Linked DNA regions of Ovis aries. The protein of the gene in region 1 purifies or fractionates together with the protein of each later gene. This does not show direct contact. Links are inferred from orthologs where the notes say so. Each region holds a gene or a part of one and is shown in the gene's direction. Other genes may lie near its edges.

What was found.
Region 2: the proteins of FUS (region 1) and RALY purify together in Homo sapiens (affinity purification with mass spectrometry; 3 studies listed by BioGRID and IntAct, with this or other methods). This does not show direct contact. The link is inferred for Ovis aries from reciprocal best matches to the Homo sapiens genes FUS and RALY.
Region 3: the proteins of FUS (region 1) and HNRNPC purify together in Homo sapiens (affinity purification with mass spectrometry; 3 studies listed by BioGRID and IntAct, with this or other methods). This does not show direct contact. The link is inferred for Ovis aries from reciprocal best matches to the Homo sapiens genes FUS and HNRNPC.
Region 4: the proteins of FUS (region 1) and LARP1 purify together in Homo sapiens (affinity purification with mass spectrometry; 3 studies listed by BioGRID and IntAct, with this or other methods). This does not show direct contact. The link is inferred for Ovis aries from reciprocal best matches to the Homo sapiens genes FUS and LARP1.
Region 5: the proteins of FUS (region 1) and IGF2BP3 purify together in Homo sapiens (affinity purification with mass spectrometry; 3 studies listed by BioGRID and IntAct, with this or other methods). This does not show direct contact. The link is inferred for Ovis aries from reciprocal best matches to the Homo sapiens genes FUS and IGF2BP3.
Region 6: the proteins of FUS (region 1) and DDX39B purify together in Homo sapiens (affinity purification with mass spectrometry; 3 studies listed by BioGRID and IntAct, with this or other methods). This does not show direct contact. The link is inferred for Ovis aries from reciprocal best matches to the Homo sapiens genes FUS and DDX39B.
Region 7: the proteins of FUS (region 1) and DDX42 purify together in Homo sapiens (affinity purification with mass spectrometry; 3 studies listed by BioGRID and IntAct, with this or other methods). This does not show direct contact. The link is inferred for Ovis aries from reciprocal best matches to the Homo sapiens genes FUS and DDX42.

What each region holds. Positions count from the first base shown.
Region 1 is NC_056077.1:27,781,522-27,785,641, forward strand, and holds the start of FUS (RNA-binding protein FUS), read left to right. Parts: upstream 1-1,320; 5' UTR 1,321-1,392; coding exon 1,393-1,405; intron 1,406-2,949; coding exon 2,950-2,974; intron 2,975-3,060; coding exon 3,061-3,215; intron 3,216-3,983; coding exon 3,984-4,120. UniProt on the Homo sapiens protein: DNA/RNA-binding protein that plays a role in various cellular processes such as transcription regulation, RNA splicing, RNA transport, DNA repair and damage response. Binds to ssRNA containing the consensus sequence 5'-AGGUAA-3'.
Region 2 is NC_056066.1:63,428,823-63,433,038, forward strand, and holds the start of RALY (RNA-binding protein Raly), read left to right. Parts: upstream 1-1,416; 5' UTR 1,417-4,216. UniProt on the Homo sapiens protein: RNA-binding protein that acts as a transcriptional cofactor for cholesterol biosynthetic genes in the liver. Binds the lipid-responsive non-coding RNA LeXis and is required for LeXis-mediated effect on cholesterogenesis.
Region 3 is NC_056060.1:24,220,408-24,224,652, forward strand, and holds the start of HNRNPC (heterogeneous nuclear ribonucleoproteins C1/C2), read left to right. Parts: upstream 1-1,445; 5' UTR 1,446-1,573; intron 1,574-2,188; 5' UTR 2,189-2,233; intron 2,234-4,245. UniProt on the Homo sapiens protein: Binds pre-mRNA and nucleates the assembly of 40S hnRNP particles. Interacts with poly-U tracts in the 3'-UTR or 5'-UTR of mRNA and modulates the stability and the level of translation of bound mRNA molecules. Single HNRNPC tetramers bind 230-240 nucleotides.
Region 4 is NC_056058.1:63,776,794-63,780,293, forward strand, and holds part of LARP1 (la-related protein 1), read left to right. Parts: intron 1-444; coding exon 445-573; intron 574-649; coding exon 650-850; intron 851-949; coding exon 950-1,112; intron 1,113-1,930; coding exon 1,931-2,075; intron 2,076-3,500. UniProt on the Homo sapiens protein: RNA-binding protein that regulates the translation of specific target mRNA species downstream of the mTORC1 complex, in function of growth signals and nutrient availability.
Region 5 is NC_056057.1:32,994,807-32,998,865, reverse strand, and holds the start of IGF2BP3 (insulin-like growth factor 2 mRNA-binding protein 3), read left to right. Parts: upstream 1-1,259; 5' UTR 1,260-1,642; coding exon 1,643-1,817; intron 1,818-3,024; coding exon 3,025-3,085; intron 3,086-4,059. UniProt on the Homo sapiens protein: RNA-binding factor that may recruit target transcripts to cytoplasmic protein-RNA complexes (mRNPs). This transcript 'caging' into mRNPs allows mRNA transport and transient storage.
Region 6 is NC_056073.1:26,832,893-26,836,392, forward strand, and holds part of DDX39B (spliceosome RNA helicase DDX39B), read left to right. Parts: intron 1-189; coding exon 190-282; intron 283-2,336; coding exon 2,337-2,520; intron 2,521-2,577; exon of another isoform or gene 2,578-2,654; intron 2,655-3,500. UniProt on the Homo sapiens protein: Involved in nuclear export of spliced and unspliced mRNA. Component of the TREX complex which is thought to couple mRNA transcription, processing and nuclear export, and specifically associates with spliced mRNA and not with unspliced pre-mRNA.
Region 7 is NC_056064.1:47,759,534-47,763,560, forward strand, and holds the start of DDX42 (ATP-dependent RNA helicase DDX42), read left to right. Parts: upstream 1-1,227; 5' UTR 1,228-1,370; intron 1,371-4,027. UniProt on the Homo sapiens protein: ATP-dependent RNA helicase that binds to partially double-stranded RNAs (dsRNAs) in order to unwind RNA secondary structures. Unwinding is promoted in the presence of single-strand binding proteins.

The sequences.
Region 1 (4,120 bases):
TGGGTATAGTCCACAAGTATTTCTCTAGGAAAACGTGTCTAAAACGTGTCTACAAACAAAGTTCTGGTAACTCAGGTCAAAGGTAAATTGGGAGGGAACATCTGTATGGCACATGTACCAGGAATAACCTCCTTTGTCTTGTTTTAGTAGATACTTTCAAATTTCCTTCTCTAGGAACTTTGACTAGAGTGCAAGTTGCAAGTTAATTTGAATTTCACATTTTGTCCTCGTTCTTGTAGAGAGTGAAAAGACTTCAGAATACCGCAAAGTGTTCACATAACCAACAAAAGGAGTGTTTTTGTAGCTGCACAGACCTGGATTCGAATCAGGATACCTGTTCTATAATCACGGATTGTTCTTGGTCGGTGTCTTATTTCTCTTTTCTATAAAATGGGGATAGCTTACTTTCTTCATAAGACTGTGTTGGGAAAGCATTTAATTGTGCATTTTGAAACGACTTCAGCTCTATACAAATATCACTTACTACTGGATCTCCACATTGGTTTCTTGATAGAGTTTCAGGAAAACATCTGTGAAAGGGTGGGAGATACCTATCTAATCTCAACGCTCTTTGAGATCCGGAGGGTTTGGGCTTTCCCGTCCAACAGCTAGTCAGGGGCCAAGGCTTGAGGACGCTGGGTGGGCGATCAGTGCTTGATCAAACTAGGACCGAAGGGTCTGGGCTAAACTCCCTGCTTTATTTCTTTCATGTCAAAAGGCACAATCTACAAACCCTGATAAGGACTCAAGAGAGGTAAGCCAAAAAGACGATGAGTGAAAACCGAGACGCTGAGAGAGGGTCTGTGTCTGTTGTCTTGGGAGGAACATTAGAGCCAGAGAGGGAGGATGTGCCGGAGGGAGTTCGCGTCTGAAAAAGTGGAAGGGGAACGGAACGCAGGAACTCCACACCCCGAGTGAAAGTGAGGCCCAGTGAAAGGGGCCAGCCTGAGGAATTTCGGTTCCCGCCCTACGACTCCCGGCTTTGACTACAGTTCCGCCCGCAGCAGCCCTGGGCCCCTTGCCCCGCCCCCAGGGGTTAATCGGATCGTACCATTATGCCATCCTAGGGGCGGAGGTGAAACGTGGGCTAGTCTTGCAAAGCAAATAGTTCTTTGTCAGAAAAAAAAGGGTTATCTATATGATCTGAACGTTTCTTAGTTAATATATTTCCTTTCTGCCTGCTAGGATCCTCTATACTCCCTGAAGAGTGCCAGGAGTCCGGCCATGTTTCCCCCTTTCCTTTCCGTAGTTGGTACGTTCCCCCGGGAGACGTAGGCGGGGAGGCGTACATAAACCTCGACGCAGGAGGCGGGGTTGCTCAGTCCTCGAGGCGTCGGTGCTCTGTAGTGTTGGAACCTTGTTGCTTGTCGGCCTGTGCGCGCGTGCGCGGACATGGCCTCAAACGGTAAGTAAGGGCGCGAGGCGATCGTGGCGCGCCGGCCCCGGACCTCATTCCTTCCCAGTCCGGCTTTTGTTTTTCGGTGGGACCCGGGCGGCTATCGAGTGCAGGATCTTTTCCTCGCACCACTGGCTAGAAGCAGCGGAGAGGGGTGGAAGGGGGAGGCCGATGTCGCCATTTTGTTTTGCTCATCTGGCGCCTCGCGTGGGGCGGGAGGTCGTCCCTTCGTTGCCCCCTTCCTTGAGGTGAGGGTTGGGAGAGACGCGGCTTAGTGATTGGGAATGGGAGGCATGGATGGAAATGCTCGGCCTCCGTATCCTCTTCTCCCCCTCGTCCCCAGCCCCGCGCTCGGGCCCGCTTTGTCGCAGTGCTGCATCCGGGCACTCGGAGGAGCGCGCACGCGCTTTGCTAGCCCCTCCTCCCCTTTCTGGCGGCGCGAACCGCCCCCCCCACCCCGGTCTCCTGTCTGCCCTGCTTTTTGTCGCGAGACCCTCGGCTGGAGGCTCCGCGGCGCGCGTCCGGTGTGGGCCGCGCCCCCGGGGTCCTTCGGGAAGGGGCGGGACCGCCTCGTTCCCGCCTCGCTTGCCACGCGGCCAGAGGCGGAGGCTCGGGGTCTGGGCCGCGCGCCCGCTTAACGGCTGGGGGTGGGGGGCTGGGGAGTGGTCCAACGGTCTTGAGGACTGGGCCCGAGGCCTTTCCCGCCTGAATTTCCTCTTGCAGAGGTGGGAACTGAAAAGAACTGTCGCCTGGGGCCACACCCTCTCTCGGTGCTTTGGCTCTTTCCTGCGGGGGAAGCGCCTCGTTTCCTGTATCGAGGAGATGAGCGGATCAGGCCCGTGCGTCTTCCATGTGGCGTTTTAAAAAGCACTTTCGCTGCTTTGGATTCGCCTAGTCTTCCCGCAGCCCCGAGTTAGCCAAGAGGGACAGGAAAACGCACTCGTTTGGGAGCCACAGGGCTGGGGGCTTGAGTACCAGCCAACGTGCTGATCAGAGTGCTCTCTTCCCTTGGTTAGCTGGCTTTGCACCAGAAGCTCCCATTTCCAGGCTCCAAGATTGGGCAAAGGGTGAAGCGTGGCGTTTTGTGAGACATTCTTGTTCTTTGGATTGAGAAAGCGGAGGCTCCCTTCGGAACAGTTCTGCCTCTGGCTTGAATTAAAAACCTGTCCTGCTGAAACAGCTGTGTGGTTTCAGCCTAACTCTTGGCGATGTCTTCTTTCTCAAGGGAGCGTGGGAAAGAAATGCGTAAATCTTTGCAGTTCTGACATCGATTGAAGTTGCGGACAGGTTGCTGCTGTCCGTTAGCACTCTTGCTTTTTCAAGTACTTAAGGCGTCTTTCTTGGTTTTGTGGAAATGCGCTTTCTCGTTGCCTTTTTCATTGTAAGAAAACTTGTCTGGGGTCTCACAGACTGCCCCTCTCCATAGAATTTCATGAGGGAATATATGCCTCCTTTGTTGATTTTCTTATCTGGGGACCCTGAAGCTTAAGTCTTTTAGCTCGTCTATTCTGAGAAATGGCTGAAGGTAATATAATCCTGTTTTTCTTTTGCAGACTATACCCAACAAGCAACCCAAAGGTGAGTGTCCCTTCTGGACTTCCAGAGTTTGTAGAGGGTGAGGGTGGTTAAGATGTCTTTTCCTGAGAGCACTGTTTTTTCTCCAGCTATGGGGCCTACCCAACTCAGCCTGGGCAAGGCTACTCACAGCAGAGCAGTCAACCCTACGGGCAGCAGAGTTACGGTGGCTACGGCCAGTCTGCAGACACTTCGGGCTATGGCCAGAGCAGCTACGGTGGTTCTTACGGACAGACCCAGAATAGTGAGTCTTAGTGGGTCACCCCACCTCTTCTGCTCTTTGTGAATGTTGCTTTTCTTTTTTTTTTTTTTTTTGTGAATGTTGCTTTTCTTAAACCTAAGCAGTGCTGAAACATTCCCCTTAACCGGTTTTTGACCCTTAAAGCTCTTGGATGTTTTGAGTCCTTTGAAACAAAAAGACTTAATTGGTTTGTAATCCTGCTTCCTTTTATTTTCTGTTACTTTTTACTTTTCTGTTTATGCTGCTATTTTCCCAATTTCCCCTAAGCATGAAAGTGAAATGAAGGTGGGAGGAATATTCTCTAGAGGGAGAAATGCTTTAGGCTTTTAAAGAGGGAAAATGACTTGCTTGAAGACATTTGAAGTCAGGTGGCATCACGTGGATACACCAGGAAGTGGAATTTGCCCTGAGGTCCCTGGAGTGTAAATAAAACGCCTTGTCTTTATTTGTTCTGCCAGGGGCGGGCAGGTTAAAGTGCTGTTAGTGACAAGAGATCTCTTGGGCTATGACTAGTGGTGGTCCTGGAGGCTGGCTTTGGGGGTGTGTGGTATGAGGTTAGAACTTAAAACTTGAGTAGAAGTTGAAACACAGCTTTCAGGTAGAAAAGGTAATCTCTTTAGCTATGAGTTGCAAGATTGCCAAGCATTTTCTAAGAAGTTGACTTACCAAGTACAGGAAGCACTAAGTGGTATACAGGGCTGTTCTCAGTGCATTCCCTGCCTGTTCTCTTTCCTCATAGCTTCTGTGACTTCCCTTTTCCTTTCCTTGTAGCAGGCTACGGCACGCAGTCAGCTCCCCAGGGATATGGCTCAACTGGTGGCTATGGCAGTAGCCAGAGTTCTCAGTCGTCTTACGGGCAACAGTCTTCGTACCCTGGCTATGGCCAGCAGCCAGCTCCTAGCAGCACC
Region 2 (4,216 bases), on another chromosome or scaffold:
CCTGAACATTTTGAAGTCTAAATATGTACTTGAGAGAATTGTTACACTGTTTGCTGAACCATGGGGACTGGGAAATGGGAGAAGGGTTCACAGTTTGTTGACATATTATTTAATTGGAGGAGCTGATAGTCCTTTCCTATTACCTCCCACCTCTTAGTGCCTCCGCTTTTGGGCTTGCTTTTGGGCTTTAACCCCAGCCTGCAGAGATCCTTTAGTTCCTTGTGTTTGCTACTTTGTTCATACCTGGAGCCCTGCCCCCAGATCCTTCTACCCAGGTCTTACTGCAGCTGTCATTCCTTCTCGGAAATAAAATAGTACATGTAAAGTGCTTAACCCAGTACTTAGACGATTTCAAAGTGTGCCTTAAATGTTATGGCAGTTAAATGACGGTTGTGGTGGTGGTGATTATCATAGCTTTGTGCTCACGGTATCCTTTGGAACTACCTGGCTGAAGGACTCAGGAGTCAACTGGTGTTTAGTAAAAAGCCTGGACTGCAAGTAAATGGAGAGTATCCCAGCGTTGGATATAAATGAGGGCTCTGAGTCATGTCAGCCAGGACTAGAGCATGCGTTTTCTGTCTTTTTTCCTTCTGTTTTTTGAGAAGTGGTATAATATATGATTAAGAAGGCAAGCCCTGGAGGTTGAACTCAGGTTGAAGCCCCGAGTCTACCATCTATTAGCTGTGTGACTTGGGGCAAATTTACTTAGCATTTCTGTATCTGTTTTCCCTTAGAAAAAGTGAAGAATGTAATACCACACCAACCTTACAAGAGTTCCTAAAGATTTAATGAGTTAATACAAGCAAAGTGTTTACAACGAGGCTTGGCACTGTGCTACTGTTCTCTTTACCCCAGTCATTTCTACCCCACATTCCAAGTAATAATATAGGAGTTTCTCTGTCCCAACAGAGGACGGGGTAAGTGGAGAAAACTGAAGTCAACATCATAGTGCTTAGAAGTTTGTCCCATCTGGGTTCTAGGTTTTGGAAGCCTGGAGGAACTCTTTCTTTCTGTCACTACGTTCTAGTTCTGTAGACTTTCTTGTTCTTAGTGTAACAGACTTCCTCTTGCCCATTATTGCCTCAGGGCTTTTGTGCTTATTTCCCCTCTCTGAAGCTCTCTTCCTCTGATCTTTGCAGATCTCACCCCCTTACTTGGGTCTCTGTCTAGCGACTGCTTCTTGGAGAAGTCTTCCTTGACTTTCATCTAAAATAGACCTCATTTCACTCAGTCGTCCTTTCTTTCCTTGCTTTGTTTTATTTTTCTTTATAGCCCTTAGCACAACCTGAAACTGTTTATTAACCTTTTTTTTTTGCTAGGTTGCAAGACCTGTGAGGGCAGGAACTTCAAATGCATGCATTGACCTAAGCTCAGGCCTGTTTTGAGCAAGACCCTGACTGACTTCTCTCTGTTTTAGGTGAGCCCTCTTCCCTGAGGCAGTTGGTGCTGACCCTGTACCACAAAAGAAGAACTTGCTGGCTGAGCTCAGCCTTGCTGCTGGTGAGTGAGGGTACCTGGGCAAGCTTGGGCCAAGATACAGGGTAACTAGTTTGGGGCTTATTTTTACCCTTAGTACAGGTAACATAGATAATTACTCTCCTACTCCGTGCCTAAGAGACTGTCATAGGCAGACAGTCTGGGATCACTTGCCATGAATAAAGCAAAAGCACGCTCATTTCCTGCTGGCTTCTGCCTGCTACTTTCTGCTGCGTGGTATCCTGGACCTAGCTAAACCCATTCTGCCACAAGCTCTCTTAACATGACTTCATGCTGCTGCTGCTGCTAAGTCGCTTCAGTCGTGTCCGACTCTGTGCGACCCCATAGACGGCAGCCCACCAGGCTCTCCCATCCCTGGGATTCTCCAGGCAAGAACACTGAAGTGGGTTGCCATTTCCTTCTCCAATGCATGAAAGTGAAAAGTGAAAGTGAAGTCACTCAGTCGTGTCTGACTCTTAGTGACCTATGGACTGCAGCCCACCAGGCTCCTCCGTCCATGGGATTTTCCAGCAAGAGTACTGGAGTGGGGTGCCATTGCCTTCATAGCCTTTTCATACCTCCCACAAGCTCTCTTAACATGACTTAATAGCCCTTCATAGACTTTTCTGATTTCAGTCTTGAGTGTGACCTACCAAGCCCAGACTCAGTTTTGGGAAATCCTGTGGTTTTATCAGTCCTGCAGAATATGGATCATCAGTGGAGCTGGGGATGCAGTGTTAGAGTGGGGCTTTGTGAAGGGAAAGTCCAGCAAATTTTAGAAGGAAGACTGCAGATGGTGAAATAGGATGGGAAATCAACATATTAAGAATCAGTTGTGTTATGGATCTCATTTATACTATATAAAAATCCCATTTTATAGATGAGGGAATTGAGGCTTAGGAAACTGAAGTAATATGCCCAGGGTTTACGCCTGGAAATCCATAAAGCTGATCTTAGAATCCAGGTCAGTCTGTGAATACCATTCTCTCTGACTTGGCATGCTTTCTTTGGACTGCTAATCTCCTTGGAATCATGATTTTTATTATAAAATTCAAGAAGACAGACCTTCTTAGGGGTTCAGGAAGGAGGCCTAGTTATTTGAAAGGCACAGCAAGGCAGGCAGGAGTTGGGGGTCCCTTCTGAGCAAGGACATTTTTAGTGAGGTGGGCCAAGAGGCTGGAAGAAAGAACCTCCAAGCAGGCGGAGACCCAGACTTAAATATGAGTGGAAGGAGAAGAAAACATCTATAACACTTGGGACCCCATGAGCACTTGGGCTAGCATGGACAGGGACCTGGTGAGCTGACTTATAGTTGGAAAACCTGGGGCTTTATTGTCTCTCTCAATAGTTTCCTTTGGATAATCTGTTTCCCTATTTTTAAGTTGTTAGAGTGCCTCCATGTACCTTCACATGTTTATTTTGTGTACACCAACCATATAGGATGTTGTAGAGAATCAAATGGGAAATGCAAGTTGGAAAGCTTTGGGAATTGTAAAAACTGAAGTGAGAGAAGAGAGAAGAAAGTGTTATAGGTATCTCTGGCATTCTCAGTCCCTGACCTTTAGCCACCCCACTCCCCAAAGGCAAAAGGGAAGGTTTTGCTTTGGAAATCTACACTGTAAATTTTCTCCCATGCTCTTCTCTTCCTCTCCTCCTGCTGCAGGCCCTACCAGAAAAAAGTTGAAAAGTTCCACAGATTCAGTCTTTCCAGGGCACAGAGACAGAACCAGGCAGCATTGGCAGCCATCATTTGCAGCATGTAGGCTGCGGAGTACAGGTTTAAATGCACTCTCACAGCCTGGCTGCAAGTCCGCGGCCAGTACAGATATTATGGTTGTTTTCAGGAGTCCATCCCCAGCATGTGTCTGTATTCACTGACTGCTTCCACTGGGATGTTGCTTTGTTACCTACTGTTATCTTAGACCAGGAGGGCTGTTCCTATTTTGGCCCTAGGTTCCCTACCTACTGCCACCCCTCACTATTGTTAGTGAAAACTCATGTATACTGTAGCCTCATATCCTATCAGAGGCCGTGATCATTACACTTTTCCCACCATTTCTCTCGCCCTTGGCTGGTGATAGAGGTCTTCATACTCTCTTCGTGTTCTGTAGTAAGGGACATTCTGTTCTTCCCACTGCCCGCCTGAGGGTCCACAGAGGGATCCGTTCCTCCACCTGAGGCTCCTGGAAATCCACTTTGGCCAACCTTCCCTCCTTTTCTAAGTCTCCAGACACTTGGCTGTCATCTCTTTTGTCTTGGTTAATCTAATGTTCTTTAGCTTCTGGCCTTTCCATGGCCTGGGCATCAAGCTTGGATTTTACTGTTCTTATGACAACTGCCCTGCTAAGTAGTTCCATTGTTGATTCTTTTAAAATATGAATGGTTCCATGTAAAAAACTGTATAATATACTGATACTCATATAATAGCTTATTTATCTAACATCCTCAATTTTCCAGAATCCAGCTAAAAAACAAAAGGTAGCAAAGCATTGTTATCCTTAATACCTTGCACAGTGCTAATTTATTCCTGTTTTTATGTTTTGTTGTAACAAGCTTAACAATCTGGTTTCTAAACCCCCAGAAGATTAAGAACAGGGCATATAAAGGGGAGGAGGAGCTGCTATATTAGCAGCAGAGGTGAGAGCTGAAAGCCAACTGTAAGGGAGATATAAAAGAAGAATGATAAGACAGAAAAGTCAAATGGGTATGAAGGCTGTACTTTAAGGGCAACAGCCCTGTA
Region 3 (4,245 bases), on another chromosome or scaffold:
CACTCGTTACTAAACTGTCTTGATTTTTGCCATTTGACAGGTAGACAGTTTCCTTGTGAATCTGAAATTAAGAATTAATTCGAAACTAATGCATAAAACTGTATTCACAAATGCATATATTCCTTAAAATGTATAGAGTATCACATTCTCTAGATAAGTGTTCTGCAATCTTGCTTTCCCCAACTACACAGAGAAATATCCTTTATTCCTATTCCTAGCACAGCTGGTCCTTATTGCATTGCGTGCTCGGCTGCTATAATATAACCAGAGGGACTGCAGTGCAGACGACGCCGGTAGGTGGGAGACAGGATCGTTTCAGGATGCGGAGAATTAAGGGACCCGATTGTGGGTTCGGGCGGGGGAGAGCTAGCCAGTTGAACCAATTTGGTTGGCATATAGGATATCAGAAAGTGAGATGATGATACTGGATGCTTGGGGCTGGTACACTGAGACGACCCAGAGGGATGGTACGGGGAGGGATGAGGGAGGGGGGTTCAGGATGGGGAACACGTGTATACCTGTGGCGGATTCATGTTGATGTATGGCAAAACCAATACAATATTGTAAAGTAATTAACCTCCAATTAAAATAAATAAATTTATATTAAAAAATAAATGAATACACTCCCTCAGCCTCACCACTTTGGGAAAAAAAAAAAAAAAGAAAGTGAGATGACTTGGGGCCAGAGGACGAATGCTGTAGTATCCCAGGCCAGTATTTTAGACTTTATTTACCTTTTGCAGTGGAGAGGTGAGTTAAGTCAGTTGTTTTGCGTGAGTTATGGGTTGTTTGAAGGGCTTGACAAGCTGAGAAATGTCCAGAAAGGAGCTCTAGGGTTGGAAAAACTGCAGGGCTGGTTTGTATTCTAGCTTTCAGTGCTCCCTCCCCAGTCAAAGAAAAAACAATTTTTTTGTTCACCCCGCGGGCTACAGCTTTTCCTTTTACCTAGGCCGGGAGCTAGGGTAGACCTTTCAGAAGTCTACCAAACAAGACCCGGCAATCTTCATCTGCCCCCCTACCCCCGCCCCCGCCCCCGCGCCGCGGGAATTCCGAGATCCGGGTGGGCCTCCTTCTAGGCGCTCTGAAGAGTAGCGATGGGATACTGAGACCGCCAATCAGGTATCTCGGATACCCGGATGTGAAGCGGTGAGCCTTACAAAGGCAAGTTTCCACCCAGAGCTTCGTCAGGGTACAGTGGCCAATAAGCATGTCTCAGAAGATAAATGACAGGAAATATGACCAGTTACAAACTAGTTTCTCCCACGCATGTGGAAATTCTCTAGATTAGTCTAAGCCACTACTGATTGTGATTGGATAGAATTGTGAAGAGCGGTAGAACTGTCTAATGAGAAGCGGGAGCGAGAAAACTCGCAGCCAATAGGAGGATTCTCAGAAGAGAGGCGGGCCTAGGCCTTCGCCTCGGCGGCAGAGGAGACTCGGGGGCCATTTTGTGAAGAGGCGAAGACTGAGCGATTGCGACCGCGTTGCCGACCTCGAGCAGCCATCGGCTTCTTCACGTAGAACCCAGGGGTAGGAGATTCAGAATCGAATCTCTTCTCCCTTCCCCCTCCTGGTAAGTGGAGGGAGCGGAAGCAGAGGAAGCGCTGGGTTCTTTGGGGAGCGCGAGGTGGAGTGGGAGAGAGGACGAGGGAACCCTCCCCTCGGTAGAGTAAGCAGGCCCCCATTTATTCTCTGGTTTGGGGGATTAGATCTTACGCGGAGAGTTTTCTAGGCCGCAGCCCTTGAGTAGATTTTTAACCCAGTGTCCTCTAGGCCACAATCGGCAGGGAAAATGCTGTTTTTCTTTTTCGCTTTCTTGTGTTAACGGCTGTCCTTTAATTTTCGGTGACCATGAGGACTCTGAGATTGTGAAACGGATGATCAAAGATGCTCATGAATGTAGTTCAAGTTAATGTAGTGCCGATGCTTCCTGTTAAATTTTAAAATTAAGTGGGGGATGGGGAAGATTTATCAAGCAGAAATTTTTTGTACCGCAAGCCTCCAAATTCTGGAGCGTACCGCAGGGTATAAATATGAAAACAATAGTTTTAATATTTTACTGATTACTTTTTAGTTTACGCCTCTCTGAACAAATGATGAACCTCGAAATATTTTCAATTTTATTTAAAAAATTGTAATCTGATTTACATATCAACAGTAATAATTAAAGCTGGGTTTTTATCTGCAGGTTACAAATCGCTTGAAATATATAAGTTAGTGGAACTTGCTTGAGGTAGGTATACTATCTTTCTTAGACAGAAACCGAGGCATGAGTGTTGCTTGCCTGGGTCATATTAATCAGCCGAACTAGTAAGGAATTTGGTCTCCAGGTTAAGGCAAGTGGCTTTACCTCCCCGTTGAAATCGTAGATGTTAAAAATAATTACAGCAAGGACTAGCGGTAACTGGAAATACCCAAACTGCTCTTGGGGAAAAGATTATGAGTATTGCGTTTATTAAAGTGACGTCCTAAGATTTTGTGAAGTTTGATTTTCGGGATATCTGGCATTAATTTTCCGGACCATCCCAAAGTTGGCAAAAATGCATAACTATATGCCTTTTGTTAAGCAGGTATTATGGTGGTTACTGTTTGCTAAGCCCTGAAAATTACTAAACAATTTTTGCCAGGTTTTTAAAAATTACATAAGTTTCAAAGTATCACATTCACTTATCCAAGAAATCGCTTTTTTTTGATCTTTGTGTAAGATTTAGGTGATTTTGTTTTTCATAATGTGTTAAACATTCACAAAAAGTAATGTTAAGTATAGTTTAAGCCCATACTGGGTAAATTTGTCCCTTAGGAACAGAAGCTAAAACTGTTACTGTAGGTAGCTATGTATCGATCCCTTAGCATATAGATTTTGTAATAGAATTAAAAGCTTTGCCTTAAAAATAAAAGCTTAAGCATTTAGATTGTCACATGGACTTTAAAAGGGCAGTAATTGGTTAATTTAGGAAATCATACGCCTAATATTGTTGGCAAATAAAGAGAAATGTAGGAAATCAGTATTTAAGAATGGTTAAATTCTTAGATGGAAATAAAATTATTTGAAGTGCACTTTTCTTGCCTTGAGGTGTTAGAAATGGGTTCCATAGGATCAGCATGTACCAAGGTAACAGTTTAATATCACTCATCTGGAATGATTTGGCCACAAAATTAATATCTGAAATAACTGTAGATTTGATTTCAAATAGATAGGCATTAGTAACATTTTCATGTTGGTTGGAGAAGAGGGATTTAAGAAGGATGGCTTAAGCTGGAGGACTCTGTGTTTCCCATGCTCATGCCTCCTGCTGTTTTCTTTGGTAGAGGATATAAACACACATTATTCCTGATTAGGTCTCTAGAGGGTTTTGCATAGTTGTGTGACCTTGTTTTGGATGGAATTGCTGTTAGAAACACGGAATAAGCTCCAAAATAGCTAATTTTTCTAATCTTAAAGATTAATTTATATTAACTGGTGGATGTGTGAGATGTCAAGTGGGAAGTGTGACAGTTGAAAGAACCCTGGTCTAGGAGTTAAGAGAACTGGATTTTTCCCCTCCTGCTGCTTATAAAATCAGTTAAACTTAATGAAATTCAGTTTTATATTTATAAGGGGTCTTAACAAGAGCCCTGGGGCTTCAGAAACTCAAGGGCAAGGCCTCCAGCCCAGCCCGCCCTGTTGTCACGGGGTGTGTGAACCCAAAGCCTCCTGTCTTGCTCATGTATACCCGTTTAGCATTCCCTCCAGAGAGGGTCCTCCTGCCCCCCAACCTAGGTAAATGCAAGATCCGCCTTTCCCACCAGGGCTGCCAAAAACTGGTCTGCTTTCCCCACCAGAATGATGTTGTTATTGCGAACCAGGGAAACAGGAAAAAAGGTAGTCTCTATCCTCACGGAGAAGGCGATGGCACCCCAGTACTCTTGCCTGGAAAATCCCATGGGCAAAGGAGCCTGGTAGGCTGCAGTCCATGGGGTCGCAGAAGAGTCAGACACGACTGAGCGACTTCACTTTCACTTTTCACTTTCATGCATTGGAGAAGGACATGGCAAACCACTCCAGTGTTCTTGCCTGGAGAATCCCAGGGACAGGGGAGCCTGGTGGGCTGCCGTCTGTGGGGTCACACAGAGTCGGACATGACTGAAGCGACTTAGACTTCTTACCTCTTAATGTCTGTTTTCTGTAATTCAAGTGATTTTTTGCCAGAAGGCTAAATAGTGTACAGAAATAGTTTCATTGTTGACAGCAGTTTTTGTATATTA
Region 4 (3,500 bases), on another chromosome or scaffold:
ATAATGGCAGCTCTTTGATTCCTTTGTCCTGCTGTGTGTTGGCTCTTCTCATCTCAGGTGACTCACTCTACTTAGGGTGGGGAAAGGGGGGAATAGCTCCTTGCTTTTTAGGGACGCACCCTAGAATTGAGTGCTTGCATTCAGCTCTCCTTGGCATGTATCTAGGGGAGCCTGGAGGTGCGGTCTTGATTCCAGGCTGCCATGTGTCTGGCTGTAAATGGCATGCTCGGGAGAAATCAGTGTTGGGAGTCAACCAGGAGTGTCCATCACACTGAAGTCCACCACTTTCTTATTTCAGGGATGAAAATGAGCTCCAGTGAGGGAAAGGCATTTGCCCGAGGTGAACGGGCAGTAAAAGCCCTTCCAGGGACAGAGGATTGGGGGTAGAGGTGGGCGGGAGGGGCCTCTCCTTCAAGCCTTTCTCGTGCCCACGCTATCCTCCAGGGAACAAACACAAGTGGGTTCCGTTGCAAATAGACATGAAGCCTGAAGTGCCCAGAGAGAAACTGGTCTCACGCCCTACTCGTCCTCCAGAGCCACGACACACCCCCACCAGCCGCGGGGAGATCAAAGGTATGCGCTCCCACTATGGAGGGCCTGGGCCTGGGGGTCACCCCCAGGCCTGACCTGATGCCCCCTCTCCCCATAGGGTCTGAGCCTGTCACCTACGTGCCCGTGGCCCCCCCCACTCCAGCCTGGCAACCAGAGACCAAATCGGAGCCTGCCTGGCATGACCAGGATGAGACATCGAGTGTGAAGAGTGATGGGGCTGGTGGGGCGCGGGCTTCCTTCCGTGGCCGTGGACGGGGGCGTGGTCGCGGACGGGGACGCGGACGGGGTGGCACTCGAAGTACGTGAGGCCCCTTTGGGCTCCGGGATGTCTGAGGGAGTTCAGCGGGGGCGGCAGGCGGGGATCTCCTCTCCCTCATGATGCTCGTTCCTCCCATAGCCCATTTTGACTACCAGTTCGGCTACCGAAAGTTTGATGGTGTGGAGGGGCCTCGCACCCCCAAGTACATGAACAACATCACCTACTATTTTGACAATGTCAGCAGCACTGAGATTTACAGCGTGGACCAGGAGTTGCTTAAAGACTACATCAAACGCCAGATGTGAGTGGACAGGCGTCTTCCTTCTGGAGACATGGGTGGGGTTGAGGGGTGCCTGAGGACGGAGTAGGGCTGTACAGGCTCTTCTGGGGATCACAGTGGTTGCTGCCTCTGGCTGGAGATGAAAAAGATAACTTGAGAGAACTGTACTTCTGTTTTAAAAATGAATCAGTTAATGTTTTTAAAAGGAAAGAAAATGTCTAGATTTTGTTCCCTTTGGGCCTCTATTTGTAATGGCAGCATTGTCAGAATGCTAATAGACACTCATGGAGTCCTCATTGATGAGGCCAGTGCTCAGCTTTATAGGCATTCTCTTACCTAGTTATGGAGTTACCTATTTAATTTTTATGAGCTGGGTTTTATCCCCTTTTTATTGATAAGCAAACAGGCCCAGTAACTTGCCCAACTAATAAGTGACAAGGCACAGATTTCAGTCTGTTTCTGTCTGACTTGCAAAACCTTAACTCCTAACCTCTAGTGGACTGTCTCAGTCCAGTGGGGGGAGCCATACAAGAGAAGAGATGACTGCAGTAGAGTGTGATAAGCTCTTTAGGAGCGGAGGAGAAGGTGACCAACAGTATTGGGACTGGGTTTTAAAGGATGAGGGGCTTGTCAGGTGTACCCAGAGGCTGAAGGGCAGAGAGAGTTTGACCCAAGGTTAGGGAGCCATGAGAGGATAACATCATCTCTTTCCAGCCTTTAAGATTGTAAATACAGAGGGACAGGGTTGGTCAGAGGCTGTATGAGGTTCCTGGAATGTACAGAACAAAGAAGGCACGTTCACACATGATGGAGCAATCACACTTCTCCCCTCCACCCAGTGAATACTACTTCAGCGTGGACAATTTAGAGCGAGACTTCTTCCTGCGGCGAAAAATGGATGCTGATGGCTTCCTTCCCATGACACTTATTGCGTCCTTCCACCGAGTGCAGGCCCTTACCACTGACATTTCACTCATCTTTGCGGTATGTCTCCCTCCCTGGGGCTGGGGTGGAGGGGAAAGAAAGATCCTTACTTAAGGAGCTGGGGTTGGGTCAAGCTGAAGAACCCCAGAAGAGTCCTCATCTCATTACTTGTGCTAAGGTTTCAAGGCTTGGCCAGCCTCTCTCCCTCTCCTCGTTCCCTTCCCTTCTCTATCTTACCTTCCTCCCCCCGGACCTCTTTATCATGGAAGACAGCAGACATGGAAATTTTACAGAAGTCAACACAGTGGTGTAACGAGCCCATTACCCATGCTCAGCAGCTGTCAATTCATGGCCAGTCTTATTCCATCTGTCTCCTCATCTGTTTCCTTTCCCAGATTACTTTGAAGAAAATCTCCAGTAATCTGACATTTTATCCATGTTTCAGTTAATCTATCTCTAAAAGATAAGTGAAAGTGAGGAAAGTGAAGTCACTCAGTCGTGTCTGACTCTTTGTGACCCTGTGGACTGTAGCACGCCAGGCTCCTCTCTCCAAGGCAAGAATACTGGAGTGGGTTGCCATTTCCTTCTCCAGGGGATCTTCCCAACCCAGGGATCGAACCTGGGTCTCCTGCATTGCAGGCAGATGCTTTATCCTCTGAGCCACCAGGGAATCCTCCTGTTAAAGAAAAGTACTCACTGTATCATTATTACCTATAAAAGTACTAAGAATTTTTTAATATCACCAAATATTTGTTCAGTTGCCAATTCACCCCCGTTTCAGAAGTTTTCTTTTAGTAGTTTGTGAATCAGGATCCAGATAAGATCAATACATTGTCTTATGATATCTCCTCCTCTCTCTCTTCCCTTGCAGTTTTTTGTTGGAATGCTAGATTATACAGTTTGTAGAATTTTCCATAGGACACAGTAGTACCATTTTACATGTTTCGTACTCCAGATTTTTTGTAAATTAGTGATTGAGAGGCCTGATCAGATTCAGGTTTTTTTCTTCCTTTCTCCCTCCTTGTTGAGAATACTTTATAGATAGTGATATTGATATATTCTCTCAGGTGGCACTTAATGAATGCTTCATCTGGTTCTCTTTTTTGTCATATAAGCTGTAAATTACCTGTTAATTCATTAGAAACTATAAAATGTTTATGTTCTGTCTGTGTCTGTATTTGTTTGCTGGAATAACTCTTTAAGGAGGTACTTTGCCTTATCAGCTGTTTGGTTACCAAGAAGCATGTAGTTTGTACAGGAAGGGCAGTTAAGTGCTTGATCTTTTCCTTTGTTAACCAGTTCTCAGAATTATGAGCTGATCCCTAATAACCTTCAAAAGTAACTGGTAAGGTCTCAGTTTGGTTTTTGTTTGTTTTTGTATCATTACAGACTAGTAGATTCAAGCATTTTGTTTCATTTATTGTAGTTATTATGCTAAATCAAATCATTACCAGTGGGACCCTGGCTCATCTTGTACTTTTGTTG
Region 5 (4,059 bases), on another chromosome or scaffold:
ATGGTTATAATGGCCAAATGCAGGCAGAAAAGCAGCAGAAAGAGACTTAAGCAATTTTTCAAGTACAAGTTACCACTTAGGGGTAACGCAGAGCGGTGTTCCTGTTTTAAGAGTCCCAAGTTCTCCAGCTAAAATTCTTTAAATAAAAGTACCAGCCTACCCCACTCCTCCTCTTCCTCCTCCTCTGGAAACTACAGGAAGATATGGTTTCCGTTTAAATACCGACTTTTCCCACTCTGACTTTTCTGCTCCGGCCTCCGAGGCCCGGGACGCCCCCATCCCCACTCCAGAAACCTTGGCCCCTGCGCTCCCCTCCCCCACCGGTGGCCAAGCCCGCCCCCGGCCTCATTGATCCCGGAGCCTTTTCTGAATCGCGCAACCAATAGCAAACGCGAAGCCCAAAGCCACCGCGAGCGCAGGCGGAGGCGGAGGAGGTGTCGCCCAGACACCCGCCCAGGACGCCGCGGGCTCCCATCCCCCCACCGGCCTGGCTCGGGGCCGCCCCACTTTGCCGGTGCCCGCGCCAGCAAAGGGTGCACAGGGTGGGGCGCGTCGGCCCGCCTCTCCGGCTCCCTCCCAACCCTCCCCCCCCCTGCTGCGTTTCCGTCCCCACCAACCCCTGGAAAGGTGCTCGCGGTTTGCCGAGGTTACACTTCTGTCATCGAAGCCACAAGGCGAGTTCGGAATTGTGACTCTTTGGCTTTGTTTGATTACCGATTTTTAAAAACCGAGTCTTTAAAACTCGGGTAAATAGAGCCGAGGGACTGCCTAGTTAGCACCCCCACTCCAATCACATTTTTAAAAAAAATCAATACTCCTCCCGCCCCCTCTCCCCTCCTGGAGGATCCGCCCCGACCAGATAACCCTTTCTAAACTCTGTGGTGACCATCAGCTCCCCCAGCCGCGCTTCCCTCCGCAACCCCGGCTGCGGCTCCTTTAGCATTTTCCGCTCCTCTTTCTCCGCCCCTGCGCAGGGTCCTTCGCCCAATCTTGTTACCCCTCCCCCTCTTCCTCCTCTTGCTAGCTTTTTTTTTTTTTTTTCCTGCGAAACCCACTGTAATTGAGGCGCTGGGATTCCTCACGTGAGACGTTGATTTGTAGTTTGAACACGTGGCTCATTCAAAAAGCCGGACACTCGGAGCGGATTTTTTCCGCCTCCTGCGCCTGCCTCCCCTCCACCCCTTCTCCCCTCCCTCCTGCCAGTCACCCTTCTGGGTTTTTTTTTTTTTTTTTTATGGGGAGGCGGTGCTTGCCCTCTCGTAGTGTAATATTTTCACAGTCCGTCGGTCGATGCCAGAGGGTTTGGGGAGGAAAAGACAAAAAGTAGTTTCCCCCCCCTCCTTTCTCTCCTCCTTTTTCTTGCTAATCCCGCCTCCTCCTCCGAGTTAGGAAGACTGGATGCGTTTGGGTTGTCGCTAGGGTTTTTCTTTTTTCTTTTAATACCTAGAAAAGGAAAAAACAGGAACCCTCGGATCTGATTTTTTTCGCTTCTCGTTCCTGTCCTTGGTTCTTACTGTGTTTGTGTATTTTAACGGCGAGAAGAGGAGGAGAACTCGCCGGATCCATCCATCGCTGTGGGTGGTTTTAATTTTTCGTTTTTCTCCTAATTTTTTTTTTATAAAAGCAACAACCACTCTTCACAATGAACAAACTGTATATCGGAAACCTCAGCGAGAACGCCGTCGCCTCGGACCTAGAAAGTGTCTTCAAGGACGCCAAGATCCCGGTGTCGGGACCCTTCCTGGTGAAGACGGGCTACGCGTTCGTGGACTGTCCGGACGACAGCTGGGCCCTCAAGGCCATCGAGGCGCTTTCAGGTGGGCCCCGGGCCGGGCCTGCCGGGGTCGGGCTCGCGGCAGTCCACACACCGTGCTGTCCGCACCGGGCCCCGGCCTGGGCGGGTGCGGGTGCGCCTGCGGAGAGCGGCCAAGGCCCGGGCGCCCGCACGCGCGGGTCGGGGCCCTTCCCCCAGCCGGGGCGCCTACCCGGCCCCACGGCTCCCCTCCCCCCCCCCCAGATCTGCGGGCGGAGGGCGAGCGCGCTGTCCAGAAAACCCCGGTTCGGGCTCGGAGGGGAGCGGGGGCACCGTGCGGCGCCGGGGACCGGGGTTGGGGTGCTGGAGCGGGGAGGGGGGAAGCTCGCCCCGCGCGCCGCCCGGGCCCAGGCGCGTGCTCCAGGCTCCGGCATGCCGGGCCTTGGGGGCCGGGAACGAACGCCCGATTCTCGCTCCTTCCTTACCCTCTGTGTGTGTGTGTGAGGGGGGTTTCTGGCGGTGGACTCGCTGCCTCCTCTCCCGCCCCCAGAGCTGGGCCGAGGGAGAACTCCAAAGTGGCCTGGACCCCGCTGCCTAAGCGAGGCCGCGGGCTGGTGCCGCGCACGGGCGGCCCCGCGCTCCCCTCGACCCTGCAGGGAGGCGGGCGAGGGCAACCCCCGGGTTCTGGGCTCCACCTTCCCGGGTCCGACGAGCTACAGGGGAGGTGGGCTCAGGCGACCAGGGGTCGCCTGGGAGCGCGTCCCCCTGCGGGGCCGGGCTTCGGGCCGCGGCCTCCGGGGCTGGTCGGGCGCGCGCGCGGGGGAAGGATGCACTCGGGTCCCGCTCAGAGCCGCGTGCCTTTCGGGGTGGCGGGCGCCGTCCCTCGCGCGTGGTTCCGCTGGTGCCCAGCTGCGCCTCTGGACGTTCGCTCTCTCGGCGCCTGCCCGACGGTCCTCAAGCCTTTCCCGCCACTCACAGCCCGTTCCCAGCGGGCCTGGGCCGGAACCCCTGGGAGAAGGGCCTAGGCGCCCCCACCTGAGGAAAGCCCACGCAGCCCTTTGCCCTGAGTTTGTCTGCTAGGGTCTCGGGGGACGTGGGCGGGGAAGGCCGAGGGGGGCGGGGAGAGTGTTACCGACCTCTGCCCATTGATTCCTCCTTTCCCACCCGCGCGGGGCCGCTTTCTGTCTCGGCCTCGAGCCGCTCCGGGTCTAAGGAGGCCCAGAGAGCCGCTCAACTCTGCCAACTGTCCTGCACCTCTTGTGTGTCCGCAGGTAAAGTGGAACTGCACGGAAAACTCATTGAAGTTGAGCACTCGGTCCCCAAAAGGCAGAGGTGAGCTTGCTTAGCATGTTCTCATTGATTCCCTTCTCGGCCATTGGGAGGAGAGAACACAGCTGAAAACAACTTTTCCACTTATTGGGGTTGCTGTATGGCTTGGCGTTTCTCGTTTTCTTTTGCATTTGTGTTTCTGGCAGGTGTGTGTGTGTGCACACTGCTCTGTAGGAATAGACAGCTTGTCTGTGGCCCTGCCACCGGGCTGTTTATACTGGTATATAAAGTCGCTTAAGGAAGTTCTTTCGGTTAAATGTTCTCCGGCAGAGTAGGTCAGGTTGGTGCAACAGGAAATCAAGAGTCTCCGAGGGCAGTTTCTGGGCATCCGTGGGAATTGGTGACCGCCCCCCCGCCTGAAACCGTAGGAGAGGCAAAGCAGCTGCAGCCGCGCGCGGGGTGTGGCGTGCCTTTCCCTTTTCTGTCCCACGGCGGCGGGCAAGAGTCTGCGGGGGCCGTGCGTGCATCTGAGGGGAGAGAAATTTGCCTTTACCCTGGGAGCTCCCTGTGAGGGAACGCCTGGGTTTCTCCTGCCCCAAAGCGCCTTTCAGTTCCTGCAGAGTAAGACGGGTTTTCTGCAAACCCGCCTTTGTCTCCCGGACTCCCCTCGACCCTGCTTCTCAATTTAAAAAATATTTGGCTTGTAGATAAACCACCAAGAGATGGAGAAGATTGAAGATTTTTGCTTCCTCAACGAGGAAGGGGTTGCACTTTTTGGAAAGCATGTGTAGTGTCAGTTTACAGTGTTTGGAGACTTTTAATCCCTGGACTATTTTGGAGAAATGGCTGCTTTCTCCCGAGCAGGCCAGATCCCGGCTCTCTAACTCCGGCTGGAAAGGCCCTGCTTCCTCCCAGGGGGTACTGGGTTTGGCCTGTGCCTTGCTGGCTTCTGCCCAGTGGGGTTAGGGTTTCTGCCTTCCCCCTTCCCCCACTCCCAACCCGCGGTCCAGCAGTAAACTGGAAGTTAATTTCAACTA
Region 6 (3,500 bases), on another chromosome or scaffold:
CTGCTAAAATGACCTTTATCACTCTTGACTGAGAGCTCTGGGGAATATTCTGTAGTAATCATGGGGTTAATGATTTAGACCCAGAATTGTAGCCGCTTGTGATCTGCTGGGTATGCTTTTGTGGCGTCCCTAGTGAAGGGATATACTGTCTGTGTCTCCAACTACTGCCCGCCTCCCCCCCCCCCCCAGGTGTCTGTACTGGTGATGTGTCACACTCGGGAGTTGGCTTTTCAGATCAGCAAGGAGTATGAGCGCTTCTCCAAATACATGCCCAGCGTCAAGGTAAGCCAGGGTAAGAGGCTTGGGGGAATGAGGGTGTGGAGAGTTGGAGGCCTTGGGAACTTGCTAGATCAGTAGTCTTCACGTCCCACAGGTATTAAATACCTGTACACAAATAAACTTGTAGGACATAGTAAGTTCCTGCAACTTAGGTGTCTAAGAGATTTATGTTCTGATATGAATTATACTTGTTAGAGGTGCCTCCTATATTGTATTGATGTGTGTATACATTGTATCAGCATGTATATACACTGTGTCAATATGGGTGTGCATTGTGTAGCTGTGATATTCAAGGTGTGGTTCCCAGACCTCTGTGGTTTCAGTGTCACTTGGGAGTGGTTGGAAATGTAGATAGATAACATGGGTTCCACCCAGACCTATCCAGTATGAACATGCATTCTAACAAGATTCTCAGGTAATTGGAGTTTGAGAAGCATATGTATATGCTTGATGTATATAATTTTTTATTCTCCTTGGGTGAAAAAGTACAGTTTTGTTCAGATTAAAAATTTCCCCCTTAATTATTATATTTAGAACTAGGAATATTTGAGTAGTAGCCGTAAACTAAAAGTAATTTGTTTAAAATAGTAGTAGTAGTACTTGCGCTTGGTAAAATGTGTAGTTAATCCAAAAGATCTTATGATGAATTTGTGTTCTCCTGTCTAATCATACTTCACACAGAGTATCACTTGTTAACTTTTTTTTTTTACTTCTAATGTTCTGTGAAACCAAGTATTAGGCACTATTTTCTCAATTTGTCTACTTAAAAGCCATTTTAACTTTTCATGTAAGACTGTTTAGCTTGTTTACATGGTTCTTTTTCCCAGAACTTGGGAAAACTGTTTAATTTTCTAAATATAGTCAAAGCTCTGTGTGTGTGTGTGTAAAGTATATCTGTGTTCATACAGTGTCGGTTTCGTTAGCATTTACTTTCTGTCTTTTTAGCAAGTGGAGTTTCCATAACTTTCCATTGTTAAGACTATGAAAACATTTGTTGTTGAGCTCAATAGAGAGCTAGGATGTAGTTTCACCTCAGTAGGTTTAATTCATCACCTGTGGACTCAAAAGAGTGTTCTTGGTGTCAAGATCAGATATAAATTTGATTAGTCTATTTGTCCTTTTGTTCAATATTATGCTTCAGTGATTTGATAAAGAGATTGGGCTAGTTCTGCAAAATGTCCTACCTCTGGATTTGTCTGGTTACTCTCCTGTTGTGGTGTTTTAACTTGTTTTTCGCTCCCAGTGTTTCCTGTAAACTGAATTTTTTTTTTTTTTTTGGTGCTGTGGCACCTAGTGTGTGGGATCTGAGTTCCCCCACTAGGGATCAAACCCATGCCCCTTGCATTGAAAGTGCAATAACCACTAGACTGCCAGGGAAGTCCCTAAACTGAAAGTTATGTTTGAAAGCTTAACTGATTCAATTTAAAGATTTTGGGCAAGAATTCTTCATAGATGATGCTGTGTATCTCCTGTTTTGTTGCAGACCACTTATCCCACAATTAATGGTTTTAGATTTACCCTAGACTTAAGGTTGTGATAGTCTGATCCCTTGATTGGTCTCCCCCTTTGAAACTAAAAAAGCAGTTTCTGATGCTGTATTAAAAGGCTCAACAGCCATTTCCTGAATGGTTTTAAGGTGGAGTAATATGTCTAGCCTAAACAGGGTCTATTCAAAGGAATTTAAAAATCTAGGGTCAGTTAGGAACACTTGATACCTGTGAGCTTTTTTTTGGTACTTGACACTTAATTTCTTGCCATCCTCATTTTTACAGTGAAGTCTGGCTTTGGAGCTGGAGAAGGAAAATTGTTAGATTAAGTCAGAAGAACTAAATGCTAGTCCTCAGAGCCATGATCAGCCATGTAATTTAGGACAGGTCACTTTTGTTTCTTAGCTTCAATGTTTGGGGGTTACGATACTTTTAGATTAGGTGATCTCATGTTCCGTTTAGCTCTGAAATGTTCTGAGAATTGGTTTAGAGCAAATTGAAAGGATGGGAACCTTGGGAAGGTTGACCCTTTCCTTCCTTGTGAAATATTGTTCTTTTCTGGGTTGGCAGGTTGCAGTGTTTTTTGGTGGTCTGTCTATCAAGAAGGATGAAGAGGTGCTGAAGAAGAACTGCCCGCATATCGTCGTGGGGACCCCTGGCCGCATCCTAGCCCTGGCTCGAAATAAGAGCCTCAACCTCAAACACATTAAACACTTTATCTTGGATGAATGCGATAAGATGCTTGAACAGCTCGGTGAGTTGTCCCAGTCGGGCTGGGCTGGTCTAGTGATCTGGGAAGTTGCCTTTTGGAGCCAAATGATGGTTATTTGATACTGGAGCACTTTAGTGCCAGGACGACTCTTAACCTATCACCCATGACTGATGGCTCTGGCTTCCCTGGTCAGTCTCTGTTAGGCTTGTTAAGCTTCCTTGGTGATCAAGGAGAAGGGGATCATGTTCTTCCTTTTTGTGGTAGATGTTTATCTTTGAGAGGAGGGACTTAGCTAATCTTGGATGTTAGTCACACCACCATTGTGTCCTCTAAATCTCTATAGTGGGTGTCAAAGGGAAGACAATGGAGCTGGAAAAGGAGACAGTCTACTTGTTTGGCATCCTCAACTCAGGATGTATCATCAGATTATAGCTGAATAAATGTTTCGACTTAAGTTCTGGAATGAATGTGGAGAGTGTGTGTGGGAGTCTGTGTGGTGTGGTGTTCCAGTGTGCTAAGTGCTGTGAAGAAAGGAAGATGTTTTATGAGAACTCAAATTTGGTGAATGAGACTAAGGATGGGCATATACCCAGGGATAAGTCATTCCAAATGATCTTTGGCTATTCTAGATGGCGAGCTATAAAGTGGGCTCCAAGTAGAGATGTCATATTTGCCTGACTGGATAGGACAGTGTGATCCAGAGGAAGCATGGAATGGACTCTGACAGCTGGAATATAATAGGTGCGCGATATTGGTAGACAGTTGGAGCTTGGGGAGAGAGGAGTAGGGAGAAGGGCTTTGTAAGGACTTAATCTTTGTGAGTCTCTGCAGTGGGCTTTATCCCCATTTTCCAGTTGTGGGCTTTGGGATTTCATCTAATTTCTTTCGTGGTTAAAATACACGGCTGGAACCTGGTCCATAGGCACTGTTGTTCCCACTGTATTGCAGCCCTGGACGTGATTACATGGCGGTTGGAGATAATAGAGTAGAGAGAGACCCGAGGCAAATCTTAACCCTGACCC
Region 7 (4,027 bases), on another chromosome or scaffold:
TTCACCACCGAGGTTGCTGCTTCTGTCTGTCAAACCAGCTGGGTCTAATCTCTCCCCAACGCGGAGAATTAGTTCTCTGCTCCATTATTCTTGCTGCCCGCTCCAACTTTGCTCTGCGGGTTGGCATTTGCTCAGAGTTCTGGAAGTTGCCCAAAACCGTTAAAGCCATCCCGAAGAGAACTCCCAACAGAAAACAGGGATTTGGGGTGGACAAAGTTTGGTATGTTCTTAAGAAAATCGGGAAAGGCGAGAAGGCGCGAGGATCGAAGCATGTCACCTAAAGGCTGGACTTAGGGGCTGGACTGGGAACAGGGACCCGGGTAGGCCACGCAACTCAGCGTCACCGCTCGGCCCGGCCAGGCCCCACCGACCAGCGCGTCACGGCCCGCGCCCTACCTGCACTGGGGGCTAGAACCCGGCCCGCTGCTCCTGCGGCCGCCGCCTCTATCCCGCTAGCCTCTGGTCCCGGCCACCGCCTGCAGGGTCAACGCGACTTCACTGCCCCGACGCCTCTAGGACACAGCCTGACCAGGCAGCTCAGTCACGCCGCGCCACTCTTCACGTAGCCTCCGCCAGCCGTTACGTAGAATGCGTGAGGCCTGCCCGCGCCTGCGCGCGGCACGGGGCCGGGACACAGCCCTGGGGACTGCGCGAAACCGCCTGCTCCCCCCCAAGATGAGGCGAGGTGGGGCGGCCGGGAGAATTACATAAGCACCGCCCCTGGGCCGGAGCTGCCGGCGCCTATCCCAGTGCTCTCCGCTAGGGTTCAGTCTAGTTGTCATCACGCTGAACCCCTGCTCCGGAAGTTAAAAGTCACCATGCTCTACAAGACCACGTGTCCAGGGGCACGGGGAGAAATGTCGCCCAGGTCGTATTTGCTAAGGAGCAGAGTTTAGGGAATCGGCAATTTCATGTGCATGTGTTTTCCAATCGAGCCCCTTTTGGGGGATTTTTTTTTGGCGGCTCCCTGCCACTACTACTTTTCTTCACTCCCAGACCCACTCCCTATACGGGCCATGAACACTCCTCACTCAGAAGCAATGGCTGTAAGAGTCTGAGGGGTCTGTGCGGTATCCGGGAGCCTTAAGGCCCAGAGCCCGCGGCGCCTTCCGGGAGCCGTAGACCAGGCTCCGCCCTTCGCCCGCGCTTTCCGCACTGCGCATGTCCGGTTTTGTTCCCCTCCCCCCTCCGTCAGCAACGGGCCAAGAGGCGGTGGCGGCGGCGCCGGCGGCGGCGGCAGCGAAGGGGGCGGAGAGGGAGGAGCGCGGCGGGACGGGGCCTGGACCGCGCGTACTTCGGGCCGTGAGGTTCTCTCCGAGTCAGCGGTAGCAACAGCTGCCTCTGCAGCCACAGCAGCAGGTTTGCGTGAGGTGGGTCTGGACGCGGGGCCGTAACCCCTTGGGGGCACCACAGGCAACTGCGGGGCCTAGTGAGGGCCAGGGAACCGCGGCCTCTCTTAACAAAGAGTCGGCGGAGCTTCCAGGAAGCCGAGGCGCAGGGGCCCGGGGAGGGGTAGGAGTGCGGGACTGAAGACTCGAGGAGCCTTTCGAAGCCTCGTCGCCCTCCTACGGCTCCCGCTTCTCCCACAACTCTTAATGAGGCCCAGTTGGCGGCTTTACGGAGGCGGCGATCGCCCGTCCGGGAAGCGATTTGCAGGGTGCTGGGCTCCGGGAGGCATAGGCACGGGGAGGATTCTGACCCGAGCCAGCAGCAGTTAACAGATGCTAGTTTCCAGATCGGGGGACCTTCCAGGCCAAAGTTGCCAAATCTGAAGACAGTGAAAGGCATAGTCTGTGATCTTTGTGTAGCTTTGAGTGTATCTGTGACTAGCATCAGCCTCCTCACAAAACTTTTCTGCTGCCTGCTAAAGAGCCTTTCTGATGTGGGTAAATAATTTATATGGAGTTGCAAGCTTAGGGCACCAATAATATAAGGAAGAAAGATCATACTTGTCGAGACTTCGGGGGAATCGTAGCTTTCTTATCACCTTAGCGGAAGCTTTGCCCCCTCACCCCTTTGGGCGGTCATTCAGATTCCTCTGGCTTCCCATACATTTTGGTTTTTTGTGAATGATCTTTGTATATATCTATTTTCTGTATACACACCACCGAACTCCTAAAGAGCAGAGATTCTGTTTTAATTCGCTTTAACTTTCCAGAGCCAAGCCCAGTGGAAGGTCTTTCATACCAAAATTCATGTTGAGACTTTAAGTGGTTAAGGAAAAAAAATGTATGTTGTATTTTCCTGTACCCAGAAGAGACATACTCTGGCCTAATATGCAGTTCATTCACCCAAGAAATATTTTTGTTGATAACTTCTGTGTGCCTGTTCCCTACCTGTGTGCTTGATTTGTGACCCGACCCTCCTGAAACATTGTAGTGAGGGGAAGAGAGAAAACAAATATGTAAATTATACTGTAAGTTAGAAGATGATTAATGCCTTAGGTGAAAAAAAAAAAATAAAGCTGAAGAGAGGAATGGGGAGATGTTGCATTTTTAAACAGCATGGTCAGGGAAGTGTTTACAGACAAGCTGATGTTTAAGCAGACTAGATAAGGAGGTGAGGGAGTGAGCCCAGCTAGTTTCTGGAAGAATGATCCTTCCAGGCAGAGGAACCAGCAAGTATAAAGACCTTGAAGAGGACAATGCTGGCTTGTTAGAGGAACAGTTAGAAGACCAGCATGCTTGGAGTACTGTGAGCAAAAGGAGGAATTATTAGGAGATAAGGTCAGGGAGGGGAACAAGGCGTTGCAGGGAGCACCAGACAACCAGGACCTTTTAGGCTGTTGTGAAGATTTCATTTTTATTCTGCCTGAGATGGAAACTGAGAGTTTTGAGCAGGGGAATGGTAAAATCTGACTTACACTGTTAATAATTTAGTGCAGTTTGTGGAAGAGTACAGTTCTTTATGTTTTAGTTTTTATCACATCTTTATGTAATCAGCTCTTAGTTTCTTTAAGCCAGCAGAGGGAAAAGAGATGCTTCCAAAACAAGTGTAATCTAGCATTTACTTATTTTGGCTTTAGAAGAATGTGTTGGAATTCTTGGGTTTTGTACAAATTCTTGGTAAAGAGTCAGATTTATAGTGTGTGAGTTATTCTCAAGGCAGATTGTTAGATAGAGTAGACGGTGATCAACTGTCACTAGAAATCTTTCTCGTACTCCAAAAACACAATGATAACGAAAAAGTAACATTTTATAATCATTAGTTTTTAGTCCACTATTCTTAAAGTCATTTGGATCTTATTTTCCACTATTTCTCAAAACATAAACTAGCCAAATTATCTTCCTTGTGTTCCTACACTTATTCTAATTTCCTAGACTTTGCTGTTTCTAGCTTTCCTCCTTGCATCATGCTTCTCTACTCAGCTTATATCTTTCTGTGTTAAAAAAAAAAAAAAAAACAACTTAATCTTCTGGGTTCTAGCTCTCTTTTGAAGCCTGTCCCCATTTGTCAACTTGTAGTGATCTCTGACATCTTCAGTGTCATGTGGCACCAAGGTATGGAATCTCTAAGTCGAAAGAAACTTGAGAAGTCTTAACTTGATATTCTGCATTAACCAATGGAGAGATTGATTTCTGGAAAGAAAAAAAAAAATGATAAAACATGACAGCTAGTACGCATTGTGCACCATTTGCCAAGCTTTGTTCCAGGTGTATTTTTGTGTGTGAATTCAGTTTTTCACACCAACCCTATGAAGTAGGTGATAGTCTCACCATCTTATAGATGAGGAAAGTAAGGCCAGAGAAGCTGAATAACTTCCATGAAGTTCGCATCAAGTTAGCTGGCAAAGCCAGTGTTTAAACGTAGGCAGCTTGGCTCCACGGTCTGTGCTGCTTTACTGTGCTGTTAAGATTTTCTACTAAATCACATTTTAGTGCCTAAAACAGTACCAAGCAGGTATTGATACTTTATGCTGTCTTTAATTTTTCTGGTTGGCCAAGTTGTGAATCTCCCTAGGTCTCCTATACGTTGAGTAAACATGAATGATGAGTGTATTCTCTGGAAAACAGAAGAGGAAAAAAAA